Lonchura striata: one gene and its partners. The protein of the gene in region 1 interacts with the protein of each later gene in a biochemical or structural test. Links are inferred from orthologs where the notes say so. Each region holds a gene or a part of one and is shown in the gene's direction. Other genes may lie near its edges.

Region 1 (7,384 bases):
GGAATAGCACCTTACTCATCTAACTCAACACGCACACCTAGGGCTGTATTTAAGCAGAAGAATTGTTTTAATTCAATATGATTTACTAGCCATAATTCCTTCCCTGTGATGCCTTATTTCTTTTTTCAGTTCAAAGGTGAAGGAAGCCATGGAGTGATCCTATTTTTATACAGTTTACTTTTCTCTAGGACACTTGAAAGGTATATTTTGCTTTTTAAACATTTTCCTGTAGTTTGATTGCATCTCCTGAAAAGCCTTTTCCTTTCCTCCCATCTCTCTTGGTCAGGAAGGGAGGTGCAGTGCTGCCTCTGCCACAAGCCCACTGCTGCCCTGATGATCTGTGCTTGGTCACACAGGGTCCAAGAGGATTTGGGTGACACAGCTCCTCTGCTGAACATCAGTTCTGGAAATGTCTCCTGTACAGAGGTAGGATCAGCCACATGTCTTAAGCATTTTTTCCAGTTTTACTAGTCCCATATCTGATTTAGGAAAAAAAATTACTTGTTAATTAATCCAAGCAAAAAGAAGCCTAAGTTCATAAAAAAAAATATTTTGCAATTTTAATCATGGCTGTGCACTTGAAAAACTGATGATGATGATAGTAGCAATAATTTTTAAAATGCCACTGGCAGCCTGGCATTCCCCAAAAGTTGTGCCAGACGTGGCAGAGCTGGGAGCAGGGCACCACGCGCCAGGGCCGTTACTCCGTGTCCCCGGGCTGTGCCCGGGCTGTGTCCCCGCAGGCCGTGCTCAGCCTGCTCCTGACGGGACGGGCGAGCCCGGAGCTCGGCGGCAGCCGGCAGCCGCAGCCCGGCGCCGCGGACGGGGGCGGCGCGGCCCCGTGGCAGCGGGGCCCGGTGGGCTTCCTGCGCTGGGAGCGGGCGCCGGTGGAGCGGCAGGTGAGCGCAGGGGCAGCCCCACGGCCAGCGGGACCCTCGGCACAGCCCGGGCTCCTGGCAAGCGTCCCCCTGGCCAGGTGAGCCCCGGGCTGCGGACGCCCCGGCTGCCCGTGTGGCTGTGCAGCGTCTCGGGCAGGCACAGCGTGCTCTTCGGCACCGACCGCCGGCTGATCTCCGACTGGAAATCCGAGAGAATTTTCCACCTGTACTTCTACACTGGGCAGCAGGAGCAGACCCAAACTGCCCACCTGACGATAGGTACGACCCAGACTTACCAGGGACTGAGGTATGGGCATCTCAGACTATCACAGACAACCCGTTCCTGCGCTAAATACTCAATACAAAGTTTAAACACACCAGGAAGCTGGACTGTTTCATGATTAATTCAAAATTTATAATAATATTCTCTCCAGCTGCTGGGGTGTTACCCCACCCAGCCCTCAAGCCCTGTGCAGCTGCTCACTCACTCCCCACCCGCAGGATCAGGGAGGGAGTTGGAAGGGTAGAAGTTAAAGAACTTGGCTGAGATAGAGACAGGGTAATAAGAAAAGCAAAAGCCACACACAAGCCAAGGAAAATAAGAATGAATTCACTTCCTCCACAGGCAGACAGGTGTTGCAGGGCCCCATCACATACAACAGTGGCTTGGGAAGACAAACACCACACTCAATAGTCCTTTCTCTTCCTTCTCCCCATTTCACATACTGAGCACGAGGTCATACGGTCTGGAATACCCCTTTGATCATTTTGGCTCCTCTGTCCTGGCTGTGTCTTCTCCCAGCCTGCCATGCACCCCCAACTTCCTCACCAGCGCAGCAGTAGGAGGAAGCAAAAAGGCCTTGGCTATGCCCAGCCATAACAAAATCACCTCTGTATAATCAACCCTGTGTTCAGCACAAATCCAAAACACAGCTCCATACCAGACGCTGAGAAGGCAATGAATTCTATCCCAGACAAAGCCTGCACACCAACACATGAGGCTGGCACGCAGCAGGGCCACCTGCCTGTCTGACTGAGGCTGAAGCGTGTCTTCCTGCTCAGCACCAGCTGCCACCATGGCCCTTGTGCTCCTCACCAAGTTTCATATCCTCCCAGGAGGGACAAACTGCTCCTGCAGCAATGCTTTGGTTGTGAACAAGGTTTTGTGCTTGGGGTGCAAGATTCTTGTTTCTCTGCTGCTGTGCAACACCTTCCTCACTGGGTGCCTCCTTCCTTACTCTCCTTTCACTGCAGCATTCAAAGCAAAGTCAGAACCTTGAAACTAAAGGGTAAATCTGCGGGGAAGCAGAGTGATTTGAGATCAACCCTCATGATACCTGGTGCAGCAGCCACAGACACTATCTGAGCATCTGCTCAGAAAAGCAGTATGCAAACACACCGTGCAAGCAGCCCAGAGCTGCACTTAGAGCACCGGAATTTCCCGGGGAAGCCCACGGTGCACGGTGCACGGGCAGTCCCCAGCCCCGGAGGCCCTGCTTACCCTCCCCCCGCTCCCTGGGGCAGAACGGCAGCACATCTACACCAATACAGCTGCAGAAGCTTCTGCTTTTAGCCGTCACTTTTTGAGTGGGGTTGGGTTTAAAGATTTTTTTTTTTAGACATTTATTTTTCATTTCCTCTTCAGACACTCATTCACATCACTGGGAAGAGGCTCAAAGAGAAGGCCCGTGCAGCCCAGGGAAGAGGCGCCCAGCCCTGGAGATGGCAATCAGGACCAAGTGGGCAGGTGCGACCGTCAGCTGGAACGGGACAGATCCCTTCTTCTGAGGAGTGAGCAGGATGGACCCCTGCTCCTGAAGGGTACTAGCATCTCCCACACTACCAACTGCACTGGTCACTGCAGTCTGGAGGACAAAAAGCTCTCTCCCAGGTCAAAAACCCTTTGGTGCATTGAAGGGACACCTGACTATAAGGCATCACACCCACTGCAAAAGTGTGCATTGCAGGAACAGTGACTTGCAACCCTGTCCCACTGCACGCCTTTTCCAGGTGGTAGGATGCAGGTTCTCCTGCTCCCAACAACAGCTGGCAGGGAAAGGAAAGAGTCAAGCCCTGGCACAGCCGCCCATGGCAGTGGTGGAATCTCCATCCCTGGAGGAGCTCAAAAGCTGTGCAGATGTGGGATTTGGGAACATGGTTTAGTGGTGGCCTTGGCAGTGCTGGGGTAATGGTTGGACTAGTTGGGTCTTAGAGGGCTTTTCCAACTCCAGCTGCTCTGGGGCTCTGTAATTCAGTGATTTTACTGCCTTTGCCAAATCCTGGCACCCTGCATTTGCCTGACAAGCATGGGTATGGCACATTGCTTCTAGCTCACAGAAACCACTGTCCACTTCCTTTTTCATTGTCATTACTCCAAAACCACCTGTAAGTCACACCCTTAATGTATTGCTAAAGTCAAATGAGAACAGTAAACCTTCCGCAAGCGATCCAGAAACTTGGTTCAGGTTTATTGAATTTTATAAAAAATAAAAAGAAGCCACGACACCCAGCCAGAGATTATGCTGGGCTGGGATGAGGAGATGCTGGTTACAGCTGGTGTGAGGTCTGCGACCCCACTGTGGAACCGCAGCTCAGCCCCAGCGCTGCAGTGCCCGGGCACCCACAGCTCCCGCGGCACCGGGAGAGGGGCCCAGGGCTGCGGGGGATGCACGGTCCCGCCGAGGGGCATGGTCCTGGTAAAGGGATACACTCCCGGTGAGGGGGCATGGTCCTGGTGAGGGGCTGGCAGGACACGGTCCCGCTGAGGGGACACGGTCCCTGTGAGGGGACACGGTCCCGCTGAGGGGACACGGTCCCGGTGGAGCGGCACTGTCCCGGTGAAGGAAGGGACACGGTCCCGGTGAGGGGACACGGTCCCGGTGAAGGGACACGGTCCCGGTGAAGGAAGGGACACGGTCCCGCTGAGGGGACACGGTCCCGGTGGAGCGGCACTGTCCCGGTGAAGGAAGGGACACGGTCCCGGTGAAGGGACACGGTCCCGGTGAAGGAAGGGACACGGTCCCGGTGAAGGGACACGGTCCCGCTGAGGGGACACGGTCCCGGTGAAGGAAGGGACACGGTCCCGGTGAAGGAAGGGACACGGTCCCGGTGAAGGGACACGGTCCCGGTGAAGGAAGGGACACGGTCCCGCTGAGGGGACACGGTCCCGGTGAAGGGACACGGTCCCGGTGAAGGAAGGGACACGGTCCCGCTGAGGGGACACGGTCCCGGTGAAGGAAGGGACACGGTCCCGGTGAAGGGACACGGTCCCGGTGAAGGAAGGGACACGGTCCCGCTGAGGGGACACGGTCCCGGTGAAGGAAGGGACACGGTCCCGCTGAGGGGACACACTCCCGCGCAGCGCGGGCGGGCCCGCGCGGGGCACGCCGGGAGCGGGGCGGGTGCCGCGCGCAGCCGCCGCTCGCCCCGCACCGCCCCGTCCATCCTCATCCTCCTCCTCCTCCTCCTCCTCCTCATCCTCCGCCTCCGCCCGCCTCCCAGCGCGGCCCGATGGTGGCGGTGGCGGCGAGGCGCGATGAGCCGCCCGTCCTCCGCCGGCCCCGGCCCTAGCAAGCCTTGCGGGAAGCAGCAGCAGCACGCCCCGTCCCCCGCCGCCGTCCTGCCGGGGACCGGCGGCGCTTCTCCGCCGCCTCCCCCTCCTCCTCCTCTTCCTCCCCCCCAGCAGCAGCAGCAGCAGCAGCAGGAGCTGACCTCGCTCTTCGAGTGCCCCATCTGCTTCGACTATATCCTGCCGCCCATCCTGCAGTGCCAGGCCGGGCACCTGGTGTGCAAGCAATGCCGGCAGCAGCTGAGCCTCTGTCCCACCTGCCGTGGCTCCCTCACCCCCAACATCAGGAACCTGGCCATGGAGAAGGTGGCCTCGGCCGTCCTCTTCCCGTGCAAGGTAAGGATGAGCGGCTGGGCAGGGGGACGGGAGGGCCACCCAGACCAGCCCCGATCCCTGTGCCCCTGCGGAAAACCCCCAGCCATCATCCCCATCCCTGTACTCCTGCAAAAAAAAACCCATCCCTGTACCTCTGCAGAAAACCCCCAGCCATCACCCCCACATCCATATCCCCAGACCACCCCCCTATATCCTCCTACAGAGGACACCCACCCACCATCCCAGTTGTTGAAACTAGAATCCTCTGTTCTTTTTAAAGAAAAGGAATATCCAAGCCAGGACCTCTCCAGCTGATCTGGACGGATCAGATCTAACTACTACAGCAGATCTAACAGCAACGCAGCCATACAACCCATTTTATCTAAGTGCTTGCATTAGGAAAAAACAACCTCAAAAGATGAGAAGAATCCATTTTAAGTGGAAACAAAAACTAAGTAAAGCTCAGCTTGAAGCCAGGGCTCCATACAATGTAAAGTTTGCAATGAGAATGAGAGCTCTGGTTGATCACCTGTGTTTCCAGTTGACGGGTGGGAGCAGCACATACTAGGGCTGATGCCTTTCCTGACAGCTTGTGTTTGGTCTCTTTCCAGTATGCCACAACAGGCTGCTCCCTGACCCTCCACCACACAGAAAAGCCAAAACATGAAGCCATCTGTGAGTACCGTCCCTACTCCTGCCCGTGCCCTGGTACCTCCTGTGACTGGGAGGGGTCCTTGGAAGCCGTGATGTCCCACCTCATGCATGCCCACAAAAGCATTACCACCCTTCAGGGAGAAGACATCATTTTCCTTGCCACAGACATTAACCTGCCAGGGGCAGTGGACTGGGTGATGATGCAGTCGTGCTTTGGTCACCACTTCATGCTGGTGCTGAAGAAACAGGAGAAGTGTGAAGGTCACCAGCAGTTTTTTGCCACCGTGCTGCTCATTGGCACCCGTAAGCAGGCAGAGAACTTTCAGTACAGACTGGAGCTGCACAGCAGCTGCCACCGACTGACCTGGGAGGCATCTCCCTGCTCCATCCACGACGGCGTGTCCATGGCCATCCGCAACAGCAACTGCCTCATTTTTGATACAGCTACTGCACACCTTTTTGCTGACAACGGAAACCTCGGCATCAACGTGACAATTTCCATGTGTTGCCCGTGATGCATTGCTAGCGAGACTCGAGCTGTCTGGATGTAGTGCTTCACTGGGTTTTGGTTTTGGTTCCCATTTTTTATGCTATTCAACTATGTCATCTTGTATGCTAAGGTTTCTGACTAGCCAACAACTGTAATTCTGGGCAGAAGAGGAACAACAGTATGCTGTAAGTAATGTGAGCAGGACAAGGTCTTTTAAAATTCTTGGGTGCCTTAGGAAGACTACACACAAGATTACACACCTTTTGTAATTTAATTATATTTTATGTAAAGAGTGCTTCCATTGGATATATGGCTTAAGAGGCTCCTGTTTGGAGCACACCTAAAAAGCCCTTTCATCAGCAGTACAGATTCTGTCTGATGCTGGTGAGCTTTAATAAAAGGCTTTAGTATCACAAGAGGGTTTGGTTTAGAAGAGACTATCATCTGTTCCAATCCTCCTGCCATGGCAGGGAGACCTTCCACTATCCCAGGCTGCTCCAGCCCCAGTGTCCAGCCTGGCCTTGGGCAGTGCCAGGGATCCAGGGGCAGCCACAGCTGCTCTGGGCACTTACACCAGGGCCTGCCCACCTTCCCAGGGAACAATTCCTGCCCAATATTCCATCTCACCCTATCCACTGGCAGTGGGAAGCCAGCCCCCCTTGTCCTGTCACTCCAGGCCCCTGTCCAAAGTCCCTCTCCAGCTCTCTTGTAGCACCATTAGGCCCTGGAAGGGACTCTAAGTTCTCATGATTTGCCCTTAGTGAAGCCATGTTGACTATCACCAATCACCTCCTTATTTTCCATGTGCCTTAGCATAGTTTCCAGGAGGATCTGCTCCAAACTCTTTCCAGGCACTGATGTGAGACCTGACAACCTGTAGTTCTCTGGATCTTCCTTTTTCCTCTTTCTAAAAAAAGACGGTTATGTTTCCCCTTTCGGAGTCAGTGGGAACTCCTCTGGATTCCAGAACTTCTCAAATGTGATGGATGATAGTGGCCAAGCCGCTTCCTCCACCAGTCCCTCTGAACCCACGGGTGCATTTTGTCAGGTCCCATGGACTTGTGCACCTTCAGGTCCCTTCGACCTCCTCGACCCCAGTCCTCTCCTGCTGCAGGCAGTTCTTTGCTCCCCCACTCTCTGCCTCTGCCTCCTGCAATTTGGGCAGAGTGGCTGGAGCAGTTTGCCACGAAGGCTGAGTCAGAAACGTGGCTGAGTACCTCAGCCCTCTCCAAGTCCCAGGGAACTGGTGTTCCCGTTTCCTTCCATAGAGGGTCCACATTGTCCCAGGTCTTCCTTTTATCACCAGTGTACCTATAGAGGTTGCTTTGCTTGTTGCCCTTGATGCCCCTGGCCAGATTTAAGTCTTTCAGGCTCTAGCAATCCTAACCTGACCCCTGGCTGCTCACAATCTTCCCTGGCTGCCTGTCCTGTCCTAGTAGGTGAAAAAGGAAGAAAATCCAAGTAACCTTTCACTGGAGC
Region 2 (8,016 bases), on another chromosome or scaffold:
CAGCTCTCTCAGCCTGTCTTCATAAGAGAGGTCCAGCCCAGATCTGGACCCAGCACTCCTTGTGGGGTCTCACCAGGGCAGAGCTGAGAGGCAGAGTCACCACCTCAGCCAGACACCTGGTCTTCCTTCTTGTTCATCAGATTGTTCACTCATGCCCAAAGGGGTCAGTCCCAATGGTTCCCATCCTTCCAGCGCATCTCACTTGTGGTAGATAGGGACAGGCGAATGGAAGATTTCGGGATGTGACAGAAAGCAAGACCCTTCCTCCTCATCCTGTGATATGTAATCCATTACCCCCAAGACACGTAACCCCACCTAACCCAGTAGTTTTCCACTCCTTACTAATCCTAGAGATCCTACCTTCTTCCTTTGATGTAGCAAAGCCCCCTTGACTATTTAACCTCACGAGATAAGGTAATAAACGCCATTTGACCATCCACCACATTGGTGTCTGGGTATGTCTGTGGTCCGAGTGGCCCGGGCGAGGCTGGGCTGCCGTGCTGTCCCTTGAAACCAGGTCGCCTTACCTTCTCATCTGAAGGCAACACTCACTGGACCTAAGATAACTTCCCAAATGACTCTTTTTTTTTTTTTTCTTTTCTCAAAATTGCTTTTCTGCCACCTTAGAAAAGGAAAACAGCCATCAAGGAGTCCAAAGTGTGCCAAAGCAAGTGCAAAGAGAGGTGCTGAATGAGTTGTTAGCTCAACTCAAGCCATGACAGACACCTTTGCCCTCATTCCTGATCTCATTGTGGCATAATATTAAAGGTGCTGACAAAGGAGCTCTGACAAGTCTTGTGGCTGCATTTGGAGGACACATCACACCAAAACACAGCTGTTCTGCCAGGAGTTGATTCCAGCACAGCAGGCAAAGGAATGGTACAGCTGGTGATGCCTCAGCTATTTCTGTGTAAAACTAAGCCTCCAGTGAAGATGGATGTAAGGCTCTGGACTTTGCACTTTTGAAGGGACTGAGGCAGAAACACATTCTCTTCTGCCAGTGCTGCGGAGGAGAGGTTGAAACCTGCAGCAGAGGGATGAGAAGGACAGGTGGGGTTAGTGACCTCTTAGGAAGCCATGGCAAGGTGTGGTAGCACTGGTGTGTCATCCCTGTACAAACACTACCTGCTCCTTGGCCAGAGGGGTTATATAACCACACCAACGTTGTCAGAAAAGTACCTTCTGTAGGCAGAACTTCAGTTATTTTCTCACTAGATCATGAGACATTGGCTCTACAAATTATGCTATGAGGTATTAAGAATACTGTTTTACAGTTTCTCACTGATATAAAGAATTCTCTTCACTTGCTCTTGCTGGGGCTTTTGCAGTTCAGCCCTTGGCACTGAAGAAGTCTGGCTTTCCAGCAGAAAAGTCTGAAAACAAGACTCAAAATGTTTAAAACTCCCTGCTCTAAAAAAGTGTGAAGCATTTCATCTGTAAATTCTCTTGTCAAAAAAATAGCATTAGTGTATAACTAATATCCAGGCTTGACTGACACCAATTATTCTAATCCTCTAAAACAAATCTCCTTAAAATCATTCTGCCAGCTTGCTAATGTCCTGTTTTAGTCTACTGAACTCTAATGTGTGCTATGCTGGCAGTGCAAGCAACAGATATGCAGGACTCAGAAGTTAGAAGTTTTCAAAATTAGATTAAATGGAAAATAAGAAAACACAGAATTAATTTTAGAAGTGAAAAAAATATACACTGTAAGGATAAACAGAGCTTTACATGGCAGAGGGATTGCCCATATATAATTGAATGATGTAGGATTTTTAATTAAAGTGTGGTGACACCTTTCATGCCTGAGATGCACAGCACTGTAAACAAACTTTATGCATGTCCAAAAGAACAGATGATGTGAATTGCCTGATTTCACACCCTCAGTCCTTTGTTTATGCCCTGTGCAACACTTAGATTGTACATGCTCTGTGATAGCTTTGTTTGGAGAGCAGTGGAGTGGTCACAAGAAGTGCTATGGGAGGTACAATGTCTGGTCCTGTTCCAGCTCTTTTATTCTTCTGGGTGGTTCTAACACGCTGTAGTATACACTGAGGACTGCTTTTCCTTTTATTGTCAAATTAATGTCTTAGCTTGGGAATTACTACAGTTGCAGCCTAGCATCTCTCAACTCAGCTTTGCTACCCCTAAGGAGAATGAGAGAGCTCTTGAAGAGTGTCTGTGGGCTAGGCAGAAATTTGTGCTTTCTTGGTGATGATCAAGCTGTGTGATAGAGCCTGTGACTGCTCAGGTTACAAACTATAATGAAGGAATGAAAACTGTTCCCGAGCGCACTCTGCATGCATGGAGAAGTTCTAACCTAAGCAATCACAAACTCTATCACACACCTTCATTATCATCCTCATCAAGGGACAAAGAGATGAAGTAAAATAGAACCAATTAATAAATAGAATCAGTACTCTTGTTCCTCCTGATGTTTTATCTTCATATGGAACAGTAATGCATCTGACTGCTATTTAAAATGCTAGTATGAAAAGCACATCATGCTTCAAGTGACAAAACACTTTGTCCACCAGAAAACCTGATTTGCCAGCAAATGGCAGTGAATGCCCACCTGAGGAAGACATGACATCAATGCTGGAGGAACAAATGTATTTACAACTCTGTGAACATCACTCTGCAGCTGGGGCTGTGGACTCAGTTTTCTAAGACAAATCTCTAACTCCCTAAGGTGACTTTTTCTGATGGAGATCTGGCATCAGTCTAACTCGTAATTTCAAACTTTCAAAAAAAGAGAAATAATGCTGTAAAGACCAACTTCAGCTATTGCCAGAAGGCATCCCTCTTAGTCCTTGACTTGTTCAAGTGGCATCATTACACTTGATAGAAAGGCTGGAAGTTCAGCATCTACAAGTACTTGATTCTGGTACAGGACTGTATATTTGCATGTGTGTGTAAACAAGAAAAGGGGGAAAATCAAAGGGTTTTATTTTATATAATAAAAATGTGTAAACAGTACAATAATGCATCAACAATATTTCCTAATGTATGCAAATTTCATAACGTTGATACTTTGCAGTTGAACTAATCTTACATCCCTTGCCTGATTATGACAACTGCTCTTAACCTATCATACATTACTGATTTTTCAGATAAGCATTAAGGGATTAATAAGATTCATAATTGTATCTTATTAATTATAACCCCACTTTAATGTGAAGTGTGTATCTAAATCAAATAAGGTCCTTTGATAGTTCATATCTCACCAGATATGAATTTATCTGATATAATGTTGCTGGTCTCTCGACAGAGCTGTCAGGGAATAACTTTAGAGGATTAGACCTGTGCTTAGTGCTGTGCACTGAGGGGTAGATACCACTGGATTCAAGGAGAACAAACGTGGAATACGTGACCCGCTCCTGCGTATGCCGGGGCTTGGAGTTGCAGCTCGAGCAGCATCAGCAGCATGGACTGCTGGTAATCCCGTCAGCATTCGCGACGTGAAGGGGAAAAAAAGAACCAGCACCTATTTTGCCTTTTTTGGGGGTGAAATGTGCCGGTTCCCAGCCGGAGCCGTGTCAGTCCCGTGCCGTGCCGTGCCGTGCCGTGCCGTGCCGCTGTGCCGGGCGCTGCGCGGGCTCCGTGGGGCGCATCCGCCACGGGCAGGCACATCCACGGGCCGCGCCCTGCGGGCTCCCGGCCGGAGCTCAGCCCGTGGGGGTGCGGAGGGGTGCGCGTGTGGGCGCGGAGCCCGCGGGGCCGCCGGGGCCAGCGCCGGGGCCAGCGCCGGGGCCGCCGGGGCCAGCGCCGGGGCCAGCGCCGGGGCCAGCGCCGGGGCCAGCGCCGGGGCCAGCGCCGGGGCCAGCGCCGGGGCCAGCGCCGGGGCCAGCGCCGGGGCCGCCGGGGCCAGCGCCGGGGCCGCCGAGCAGGACGGACGCGCTCGGCACACGGACGGCCGCGGGTCTCTGTGGCATCGGGAACTTCACAGGCACCGACCCGGGCACGGCCGCCCTATCCCGCCCGGCTTGGCCGCAGGGAGCGCCTCTCCGCAACGTGACTTTGCTTTGGTTTTGGCTTCTGTAGAGGTTTCTCTCGTTTGTTTAGCAAATCCCGGGCGTGTGCGAACGGAGCTGAGCGGAGGTCTGCTGCTCGCCTCTCAGGAGGCATTTTACGCGAAAGCGTGCTGCTGTCGAGCAGACCCAACAGCGGCCGCGGGACCGTACTCCGTGGCCGGCCGCTGCAGGGACAGTGTTACCGGCAAGGGGCACGCGGGGGAAAGGCGAGTTTTGGTTTAGAACGAATTTTGTCACGGTTTGACCGCAGCTGTCCTCTCGCGGCACGAAGCCGCCGACGGTCCGGGAGGTGTTGCCTGCTACCGGAGCCAAGCAACCTGGCGGGCCCTTGGGGATAAATAATTCAAGGGAAAGTACTGTTTTGCTATGTAAACCTTTTGTAAAAGGTGCGTTCTTCGGCCAGAAAAACTGTGTCTGCCGCGTAATGCAACAGTTCCGTCTGGCGCTGAAACTGCCGCCGCGGTAGGCGGAGGTAAGGCGGCCGGAGAGCCCCGGCGGGGCATTGGCAGAGTTCACCCGGACCGTTCCAAGAGCTCCGAGCGGCGGAGCAGGGCGAGGCGCGGGGGTCGCAGCCGACATGCCAGGCGAGAATTCCTCAATGGCGCTGCCCACGCCCACTCCGGGGGCGCGCGGGACGGCGGGCCGCGCCCCCCGCGCACGTGCGGGAGCCCTCGCCGCGCGCTCCCCGCGGGCCGGCCCCGCCCCGCGCCGCGCGATTGGCCGCCCGGGCCGCCGCGGGCGGGAGCGGGCGGGGCGATCGCGCCGGGCGGCCCCGCCCACGTGCGGCGGCGCGAGCACACATCCCGCACGTAGCCGGCGCGTTAATCAGCGCGGGGCCATCTGCCGCCCTCCTCGCCGCGGGCGGGGGCTGCCCGCGCCCTTCCCGCACGCCCCGGGCGCTCCCGCGCACTGCTGGGGCGCCAGCGGCAGGAGCGCCAGCGCGGGGCTTCGGCAGCACCGCCGCTCCCGCAGCGCCGGGCCGCGGTGCGTAGCCGAGCCTGCAGCGGCCAAAGTTTTACCTCGCCTCGCCTGGCCTCGCGCCGCGGCGGAGCCCCTGCCCGGCTCGGTCTGGAGCGGACGGCGGCCCCACGGGCATCGCCTCCCAGCGCGGGCGCCGGCAGAGCAGCGGCGCGCCCGTCCCCGCCGCGCCATGCCGCTGGGACACATCATGAGGCTGGACCTGGAGAGAATCGCCCTGGAGTACGTCGTGCCCTGCTTGCACGACATCGGCTTCTGCTACCTGGACAACTTCTTGGGGGAGGTGGTGGGGGACTGCGTGCTGGAGCGGGTGAAGCGGATGCACCGCGACGGGGAACTGGCCGACGGGCAGCTAGCCGGCCCCAGCCGCGGCGTCGCCAAGCGGCATCTCCGCGGAGACCAGATAAAGTGGATCGGAGGCACGGAGGAGGGCTGCGAGGCCATCAACTTTCTCCTCACTCTGATAGACCGGCTGGTGATGTACTGCGGGAGCCGGCTCGGCAAGTACTACGTGAAAGAGCGATCCAAGGTAAGGGTCCGCGGAGCCCCGACCTCCCGTCCGCCCGCCGGCACGGGCTCCCAGCCGGCCCGACCCGCCTCGCAGCTGCCGGCGGGACCCGCCCCAAACTTTCCACGGGCACTCGTCCGTGGCGCGTCGGCGCTATCGGCGGGTGCCCGTGGCTCGGGCAGTCCCGCGGGGCTGTCCCGCAGCACCGCCCGGGTGGCGGAGGCGCGGTGCGCTGCCCGAGGGACTCCCGTGACGGCAGCCGCTCTCCAGCCCTTGCCGCCGGGTGCGGGGTCCCGCGGAAAGCGGGGCCGCTCCCTGCGGGTCCCTCGCCCCGCCGGTGCCAGCAGCGCTCCGGGGCGGCTCCTCGCAGCTCCCCTTGTTGGGTTTTCTCCGGGCTTTACCGCTGCCGGACCCCATCCAGTCCCTTGCCTTTTCACCTGTGTGACACCGGCCATCCCTTCGCAGCCGTCCCGGGGGCTCCTTGCTTCTCGCAGTGGGGCTGGAGCCGACTGCACCCCGGTTCTCCTTGCGCTCACCCCAGGTGCGGACAGGGGCGTACCCCACCAAAAACGTCTAACCTTGGCTATTTCGGGGGGGAGCAAGGTCTCCACACTCTCCCTGGGAACGTAGCCAGCTCTGATCCGATTGTTAAGATGTTTTCGCCCATGTATTATCCTGCATAGTTTCGCGGTTCCGACTCTTGTCGCCGTTCTACAGCTGAAGAGGTTATCGTTACCGCATTGAGTATGGCCAGAATACGGGATGTTTAGTAGTTTGAGCGCAGCAAACTTTTGTTTTAAAGAGACAAATTGCTTTTTCTAGGCTTTCTCAGAAATGAAGGGGACACTTGTATTATTAGTTTCTTTCCCAATGAAGTTTATTTGCACTTGCAATGCCATTAGTGTGGAGTTAACTCGTCTTTTCTTTCCTTGTCTGTTTTGCTACGGCAAAGTGTACTAACTTGGAACTAAGTTTACTTTGTTGTCCTGAATACTGAAAACATCCTTATTTCTTTATTTCTGACTTGACACAGTACATTTTCAAAAGGTCCGCTGCTGTTAGAGATATGCCAGAAACAAAAACAATGAAAGTTTTAAAAAATTACAATAGGGAGAAGCTAGGCATTTCTCTTGATCCTAACTTGCACTGACTAAGGGCGTGTGTGAGTGGTATTGTGATTCCCCCCTGAAAAATGATGAAAAAGGTACAGTGATATTTACCAGTTGCTTGGGAACACACTGAAACCTTTGCATGCATCCCCATGCATTTACACACGGTAGTGGGAATAGTAAAAGTTGAAACATTGTTCCTTATGCTTAGCTCTTTAGAATTAGTGATCATCAATTCAGTTAAAGCTTGGGTAGGTATGTTTTAAAAATGTGGGTAGTTTGGATTTTACTTATTCCTGTTGAGAGCCTTGTATTAGGAGGCATAAATAACCATCCTGCCTTGGCACATCTTTAAGGTCATCCTTATCCTTTCTCCGGGTGATTTCTGTTTACTACTGAAAGTGCATTTCTGGCTAAGGGTGTGTGCGCAGGGGTGGATATTGAGGGGCGTTATTTAAAAGCTGGATTGGTGTGAAAGGAGGCTGTCCAGACTTTTTACGAGGTATTTAGAAAACAAATCATCTGGATGAATGAAGGCTGTTGGTGCTGGCTGGGAAGAAGGGTCTTTTGGGCAGTGGTTTTGGGTTGTAGAGATGGTTTTAAAACAGCGTTTTGGTGTTTTTGAAGGCATTCTTGTACAAATAGTAATAAAAAATAGAACATAACTTGTTTTATAAATAGGTAGCAAGATATTTACTATGAAGAGAGACCTCTGGCTCTTGTGACTTAATGTGAAATTTGTCAGAATCCAAACAGCACATGGAAGTGCTGCACAAGAGTCCAGGACTGAAAGGGACTCAATATCTCACTATTGTTTGCAAAACCAAATGCAGAGAAATTTTCATCAGTATAGTAACCAATCCCCTTGTTATAATAATAAATACCATGGGTATGTGAGGCCCTGGAATAGCAGCTGCTGTCTGTAACTGAGACATGGGATGCCTTCAGCAGAAAGATTATTCCTGTGACTAACAACTGATTACTACAGTGCATGCAGGTTCCCATATTGGTTTAAGACATCTCTCTTCTACCATTAAACCTTCCCATTCTGCTTATCATCTGAAGTCTTATTAATGCATACACACAAATCCCAAATTTAAATTCAGCAAATTTTTATTTTATCTGGTGGATTATGTATGTAAATGAATGCCCACAAAACTTTCACAGCTTAAGATTTGTGGATATGTGGGGTGTTCATGGGTGACTGGACCAGAGCTGCTTTGTGGGACATGTGCTGTTGTAATTTATTGTTTTGGCATATAGATATTACTCAGAACTAAGAGCTCAGAACAATTTGTTTAAAATGTAAGCCTTTAGGTACATGTTAACTAAATTTGTCATGAAAATGTACTTATGTCATATCAGCCCATCATTATTTAAAGGTTTA
Region 3 (7,151 bases), on another chromosome or scaffold:
AAGTGGCACAGTCTCTATCCTGCGCAAAGCCAGTCCTGCTGTCCATCATATTTTCTTCCTGCCTGGACAGACTGGCAGATTTCCCAGGTGTTTGATGTTTCTGCCTGCTAGTGATATGGAACTGCAAAAAGAGCGAGAAACAGGACCTCATACAGCAGTTTCCCAAACACGGGGCCAGAGATTTTTTTTCTCCCAGATTTCCATGGCATCCATGCTCCCCTCCAAAAACTATTTCACCAGGGAATGACCAGGAAGAAACCTTCAGGTACTGCAAAACCTGTGGGCAGACTGTCAGATGTCACACAACAGCAGCAACACCCTGGGCACCACCACACCTCCCACCTACCAGCCAGGCATTCATCATGTCTGGAGTACATTTCACCTACTTTGAGCCTGGCAGTGCCTGGCAGTACAAACTTCCCCCATCACCAGCTGCATCTGCACCAGAGGCATTTGGGGAAACTGCCCTCTGGGCCTGTGGGCTCTGGCATGAGGGCAGGGAGCACCAGGCAGAGCCCTCTGCCACGTACACCTGGGCAAAGGGGTGGGTTTGGGTGCTGCTCCTGGGTGTTGGCAGAGCACAGAGGAGCGGCTGCATCCTTGGTGAAGACATTCACAGCACACAGCCAGCTAGGCCATGGGTCCTGCTGGCTTCTGACGGTCCCAACACTTGCCAGCAGAGCCCCCAAGCACGGGGATGGGTGGCAGCACTTAGGGGCTGGGCCAGCACAAACAGGCTGGAGAAGGAGGGCACAGAGAGGGTAAAAGTGCAATGTGACCTGCTGTGAGCAGGATGCATCGAGATGTTCAGGCTAATACAACATGGGCTTCCTAAGTGCTTGGCTAAACACTGAATAAAAGAAATGAGGATGGGGATTATCAGGGAAGAGAAAAAATACTGAGCCAGCAGCCCCAGGCTTAAAATTGTCATACTGGCTCCAAGTACAGATTCACCCCCTCTGCTCATTCCCCACTTGCACAGCTTTGCAAAAGAAGGTGTAAAATATTGTATCCTGGTCAATTGCACAGTAACTGTCCCTGTGGGATGTTTCTTCCTTATCCACCTTAATTAGCAGTAGCTTTGCACCACTTATTAGGACAGCTCTTGTCTTTTCCAGACACCTTTAAAGTCTGATATTCTTTTGCTATTCCCAGAAATGCCTCATCATTTTCAGCACCATCAGTCTCCTGTCCCTGTAACTGCTCTGTGCCAAGTCCTCCAGGCAGTGTAGAAAATGGGTTTCTTCTCAGGGGTTTTCAGCAGGTTGCCTTTCTTCAAACAACCATGAATTCCAGGCAGGTGCCTGGGAGAGCTCTACCTTTTGCAGAGCCATAGTCTTGACAAACCAAGTATTTTCTGGGTTATCTGACACCACATGTTGATCTGTGTTGTCTCCCCATCTGTCCTGACCACTGGGGTTTCATTTTCCTAAGAGTCTGCTGTAGAGTATTTCAAACTGCTCAGTTTATCCACAGGCAGCACAAGGCTGGGATGCCAGCAGCTCTCAACATCCTGCCTTGCCCTTGTGTTATAAATTTCACCATTGCCTGCAGCTGCCTCTGAGCCTGCCATCTGCACCCAACAAAGTCACACAGCAAACACATTACAGTTATAGATTCCATCCAACCTTAATCCTTTCCTCAATGGTGTGGTCCTGTAATCTCACTTGTTTTTCTATAGAAACACCTTCTTTTGACATTTGCTCACAATTTCTCTCTGTGTGTTGTGATGTGCTGTGCTCAACAGCAAAGTCAGGAGCTTACCTGTCCCCTGGGCTGGGGCTTCCCAGCCCCCTGGAACCTGGGTGATACACCCCTTTCAAGCAGATCGAGTCAGAGCTGGCAAGGTGACTTCTACTTGCTTAAGGTTTCCAGCACCACTGCCTTTTTTCTGGAGACTGGGAGGGAGGGAGCCGGGCGTGCTGTCCCAAGCCATGGCAGCCCGCTGTGCGTGGCCTTGGCTCCGGTCACAGCATCCCCGGCACCGCAGGACCAGGAGGCGCTGCCTAAGCGAACTGCGCCTGCTGATGCAGCTCTTTCCACACGGAGTTAGCAGGTGCGTGCTTTGGTTCCCACTCTTACTCACAGCTTTCACTTAGTGCCACCCTCCAGAACACTAAAAAGCAGCCGAGACTCCTCCTACCTGAAGAGAAAGACAGGAACGAAACGCAGATGCTGAGAAGACGAGGGCAGCGTGCCTTGTCCAGAACTGAAGCCACCCGTCATGGGCTCCCTGGGCGCTCCTGGGTGGGCCAGCAGCCCGGAGCAGCGAGAGCAGCGAGCTGTCCGTGCAGACGGCGATCCCCCGAGCCGTCCCCGCCGCCCATCCCCGGTGTGCCGCCGTGCCCGCGGTGCGCGGGGGCAGCGCCGGTCCGTCCTGGGGCCTTAAAGAGGGAGTGGGAGGCTGGAGGCAGCCAACCAGCTGGGAACGACTTCTGAATATGCAGATGGACACCCAGGAGCTGATGTCCGACGCCACCTTCCCTGCTGGCTCCCGCACTCATAGCCCCTGAGCCAGACAGGCAAGGGCTATCGGGCGCCGAGCTGCTGGCTACCCAGGTGGGCAGAGGCCCAGAGCAGCAATTTTCCCCTGGAATCTGGCCGGAAGCCCCATTCAGGATAGTGAAATGTTGGTGAGACATGCAAATACACCAGGCTGACAAGCAGTGCCACAAGCACAAGGAAGGAGCTGGCCCAGATCCCACCAGCTACCCATCTTCCATGGAAAGTGGCCAGGCATTTCCCACATCCCGCACTCTGGGGGCGCAGAGGCAATTTGGCTGTCCTGGAGGTCTGCAGCACAGGACACGGCCAAGAAATGGGACAACACAGGAAAAGCAGCAACACAGAGTCCCTCGCTTGTCGCAGGGTGCTTTACAGAGAGCCCAGCAGAGCTGGCATCACTCCCAGCTGAGCACGTCCTGACCCAGCCCCAGGACAAACCTACCTGCCCCAGCAGCACATGTGGCTGGCAGAAACTTCTCGTGCAGGAGCTGGGGTTGGGTGGGCAAAGTCTAGCCATGCATGCCACTCCTGGGGCTTTATCTGCTTTGCTTCCACATGCTAACTGAGCACAGCAGTGCTTAGTGTATTCACTGTGTAGGCAGGAGGCCGTGGTTAAAGGCAGTTGACATCAGGTGGTCAATATTGTTCAAGGATATTAGCCTTCAAAAGACAGATCATAGAGAAATCCCTGGCAGAGAGCCTTTCTGGCTCAGTTATCATTTATTAGAGCAGTCAGCTCATCCTCAAAGCCTCAGAGACTACCCCCTGTTGATTTTTATTCAACCTCTTTCCTTTGAAAATGATCTCATATTTCGAAGTTTGCAGTCAACCATTCATAAATTATTAAGCAGTGGCTAAATTAAGCACATGTGCATAACCCAGACTTGGCTCCTTGAGAGATACCTGGTGCCAGACAGCCCTTTATAACTATCCCAGGCTGATTCTCAGAATCTGTAAATGGGTTCCTTGGGTTTTCTTCCACCTGTGGTTCCCTGCCTGGGAGCAGGCAGAAAACAGAAGCTAGCTGGGGAATTCTCAAATGTTTTCAACATAGAGAGCACACCTGAGGAACAGGGCTTACTTGTGGACTCATTTTCCTGTTTGCCATGGTGAGATGACCTCATTGCCCGTTTCTAACCTTGTGGCATCCCACTGGGTGATGCTTGTGGCAACACCACCCCACACGAGAACAGTCCCATGGTTTGCCAAGGTGGGCAGGCAAACCACGGGTACGGCTGTCCCGCAGTGACCCAGAGCTGCTTCAAAGAACAGCGTCACAAAACGGCATTCTTCGTAATGCACAGGTTATTTATTACACATATACTATTACATATCGTAACATCGATATATCCATATACGTGGTTATATCAATATATGTAATGCATAGCTATTTCATATGCATGTGATCTATAAGTAATAGTATTTAATATATATCATACAGGACGCATTAACACCTGTATTATTACACACACGGTAACACACAGGAATATCGTGCGCAGAGCCTCGCCCCCGGCCCGGGCCCGGCCCCCGCCCGCCATGGTCCCGCCCCGGCCGCCCCCCCGTCCTGGGGCGGTTGGTCCGGCCCCCCGCGCTTCCGCCGCGCGCCGGGCCTGGTTCCGGTGTCCGCCCTGCGGCCCCTCCCGCCGCCGCCGCCGCCGCCGCGATGGTGCCGCTGTGGCGGTCCCGCTGCCTCGGCCGCGCGCTGGGCCGCTCGCTGCGCGCCCTCCGGCAGGTACGGCCCGCGGGCAGCGGCCGCGGGGAGCGGGCGGCGAGGGAGGGCGGCGGCCGTGCGGGCGAGGTCGGCGGCGCCAAGGGCACCGGGACGCGTCCCCTGCTGCCGGGCGCTCCGCACCGCCGCCCCGGGGCGCGGCAGGGCCGGGCACGGGAAGGGCCGGCGAGGCTGTCCCCCAGCGGGGGCCGCGGTGGCGCGGCGCTGCCCGTTCCCCGCGGGTGCCGCTGCCCCGCGGGCAGGCCCGGCCCCGCGGGAAGGGCGCGGCAGCGGCAGAGCCGGGCGGCGGGAAGGGCTGGCGGGAAGGGCTCGCGAACGGCGCCGCGCTCGGGCTCCGCCGGCCCGCCCGTCAGCGGCATCTGAGGCCTCGCTGCTGGCAGCCACCGGCCTGCGCTGGCAGAGACCCCCGGCCGGGGCGCGCCGCGCGGGACCGGCAACAACCGGCGTGCGGTTTGGTGTTTGAATCCTGTGCTCGGTTTTCAGGGCAGGCGGTGGTAGCCTCTGCTGGCTGCAGCGTGGGCTGACAGCGCCCAGCAGCTGCTTAACCCTGGGGCTGCCCTTGGCCAGCCGGGTCCTGTGTCCTGCTGCTCACACCTTCCATTTCAGCTTCATGTGCACACACATGTTTGTGCATACCTACGGCATGAGAAAGATCACTTCTCTTCCAGTGACCAGCTGGAGCCTTCCAGCATGAGACTTGGTTTTAGACATGCTGTAAATGTAGGCAAGCGTTGACAACCAGTTGTAATGTACCGACACCTTTGTGTGTATACATGTAAAACTGTGTTATGAACAACTTACAAGTAACTGTATAGTTACAGTTTGTTACAGATATATTAGAGAAAAATTGGTTATAATGCAGTTTAAACAAGCCTATTAAAGTGGCATTTTAGCAATATTTAACCTTTGTCAGCTCTCAGTGGTGTTGTGTAATTATAAAGAACGGGAAGAAGTCAGATGGAGTATTCAAACCTTTTACAAAACTAGTCTGAAAATCAGGAGGTTTTAGGCTGAATGCTAGTTAACCTGTTAGATATACTGAAAGAGTTATAGTAGAAGTTTGCTTTCCATTTGAACAGCAATATGGGAAGTAAATTTTTATTATGTAAAACAGGCTTTTTGGAGAGATAGAAAAAAATCCCAGAACTTGGCAAACCTCTGATGGCAGAAGTGAGAATGGTAGACATATACAAAATTCAGAAGTGGAGGATTGAACGGGGGAAGAGTGGAGTCAGTGAGGGTGAGGAAGGGTTGGCTGGGTTTTGGCTGTCTGTAAAAGAAGAAAAGGTTCTGAATTCATATTAAGTAGAAACCAGGAATGTGTATCAATAGCTTGTAGCACATAAGAGTTGGGGCAGGAGCAGGCAGACGTAGAAGGCTATGTGAAAAAGTCCAGAGAAGAGCTGGTCTGGAAAAGATAGATTTGATCAGGAGCTGCGTAAAGTGCTTTGAGAATCAAATCCTTCTGTTTATGGGCAGGAGTTCATAAAGAACTTTTTCTTCCCTGTTTGATCCTCCCCTCATGCTGGAGGAGTTCTGAGCCTGTTGTCTTAGTAACAGCGTCCACCACTCAGCATGATCTCCATCCCATCTTGGCACCTGCCCTCCCATGCTGTATATAATTGTTTTGATGCCCATGAAAGCCATGCAGTGGGGTTTTTGTGTGGAGCAGGAGTTTGTGCTCATCCTTGTTAGAGCAGCAGCTGCTTTGCTCTCAAGAAGCCATGGCTGGAGAACCAATTTCTGCTTTGCCTGTTGTTGGAGCTGCACAGCACTGGCCTTCTGGTTTGCCTCTGTTCACATGAGCTGCACTGTCACGTTCATCAGATTCCTTACCTGAACTGGTCCCTCGCTGTTGGTATACAGGCTGTCGCTTTAGCTGATGTATTCCATCCTTTGTTTCAGTGTGTAGTGACCTACTGGAAGGTGATGGCTCCATAAAGGTGTGGCCTGGGACCATGCATGCCAGGGTCACTTTGACGTAGTAACACTTATAAAAACGATTCTGAGAAGTCATGTGAAACAAGAGGGAAATATTAATCACTTGCTACATGAGTCACTGGCTAATTAGACCAAGATTTCTTTCCCCAAGTGAAGCCTGTCTTTTTAAACTGACCCAAAGTGCCAAAGCCACGTAGCAAAACTTAAATATTTCCATTCTCACTGAAAAAGCTCCAGTAGAAGGCAGAGGGCAGATTTAGCCAAGTGATCCAGGAAGAGGTGCAGTCAGAAAGATTCCTTCAGGGAAAAATGGAACAGGAAGCAGCCCTGTAAGCAGCCCTGTCCTGTGTCTCCTGAAGCTGCATGTTTATCTCAGAGGTACTGTGGTTAAGAGATAGGCACACAGCAGTTCTGCAGGATGTAATTCAGAAAAATCACAGTATCTTTTATTAGTGGCTTCCTCCTCACATTAAGCCCTTCCCCTAATTTCTTAACCTTAAAGGCAAAGGATAGAGTGATACCAATTTTTTCCTTAATTTTGCTACCAGATACCACTGGTGGAAGAGAGCTGCAGATGTATTTTCTCCCAGCAATTTATTTTAGGACAGACCTTCTAAATTTTCTTTTTTGTTTTATCTCCACAGTAAACTGGTCCTGAGCAAATAAAATTGTCTGGTTTTGCATCAGTCTGAGGCTGTTCCTTTCTTAACAATTTATTGTCTGGTGTTCTAGGAATGCCTTTAACCACTTTTTTTAATAAAGCACCCAGGGAAACATTAATGGATAGAGGGGAACTCAGGTTGCTTGATACTCAATTTGTGATTGACTCTATGCTATCTTGGACACTACAGAAAGTGAGAAAAATATGATCAATACAGAGTGCTGAGGATTGTGGTGCTCTAGAGAGCTGACCCAGTGGAGGGCTGACCCACTTAAGTTGGAGTTTGTCTTACTGATCCTGGCTTAGAGCTGGCTC

What was found. The genes of interacting proteins can lie anywhere in the genome.
Region 2: the proteins of SIAH2 (region 1) and EGLN3 form a complex in vitro, tested with the Homo sapiens proteins (2 studies listed by BioGRID). The link is inferred for Lonchura striata from reciprocal best matches to the Homo sapiens genes SIAH2 and EGLN3.
Region 3: the proteins of SIAH2 (region 1) and DLST form a complex in vitro, tested with the Homo sapiens proteins (2 studies listed by BioGRID, with this or other methods). The link is inferred for Lonchura striata from reciprocal best matches to the Homo sapiens genes SIAH2 and DLST.

Annotation. Positions count from the first base shown.
Region 1 is NC_134612.1:26,840,043-26,847,426, forward strand, and holds the start of SIAH2 (E3 ubiquitin-protein ligase SIAH2), read left to right. Parts: upstream 1-4,382; 5' UTR 4,383-4,413; coding exon 4,414-4,782; intron 4,783-5,372; coding exon 5,373-5,930; 3' UTR 5,931-7,384. Other genes in the region: MINDY4B (inactive ubiquitin carboxyl-terminal hydrolase MINDY-4B), read left to right, coding at 130-200, 357-426, 744-899, 977-1,157, 2,524-2,666. UniProt on the Homo sapiens protein: E3 ubiquitin-protein ligase that mediates ubiquitination and subsequent proteasomal degradation of target proteins.
Region 2 is NC_134608.1:25,775,627-25,783,642, forward strand, and holds the start of EGLN3 (prolyl hydroxylase EGLN3), read left to right. Parts: upstream 1-4,999; 5' UTR 5,000-5,184; coding exon 5,185-5,541; intron 5,542-8,016. UniProt on the Homo sapiens protein: Prolyl hydroxylase that mediates hydroxylation of proline residues in target proteins, such as PKM, TELO2, ATF4 and HIF1A. Target proteins are preferentially recognized via a LXXLAP motif.
Region 3 is NC_134608.1:23,259,672-23,266,822, reverse strand, and holds the start of DLST (dihydrolipoyllysine-residue succinyltransferase component of 2-oxoglutarate dehydrogenase complex, mitochondrial), read left to right. Parts: upstream 1-4,134; 5' UTR 4,135-4,168; coding exon 4,169-4,237; intron 4,238-7,151. Other genes in the region: PROX2 (prospero homeobox protein 2), read right to left, coding at 1-277, 3,978-4,043. UniProt on the Homo sapiens protein: Dihydrolipoamide succinyltransferase (E2) component of the 2-oxoglutarate dehydrogenase complex. The 2-oxoglutarate dehydrogenase complex catalyzes the overall conversion of 2-oxoglutarate to succinyl-CoA and CO(2).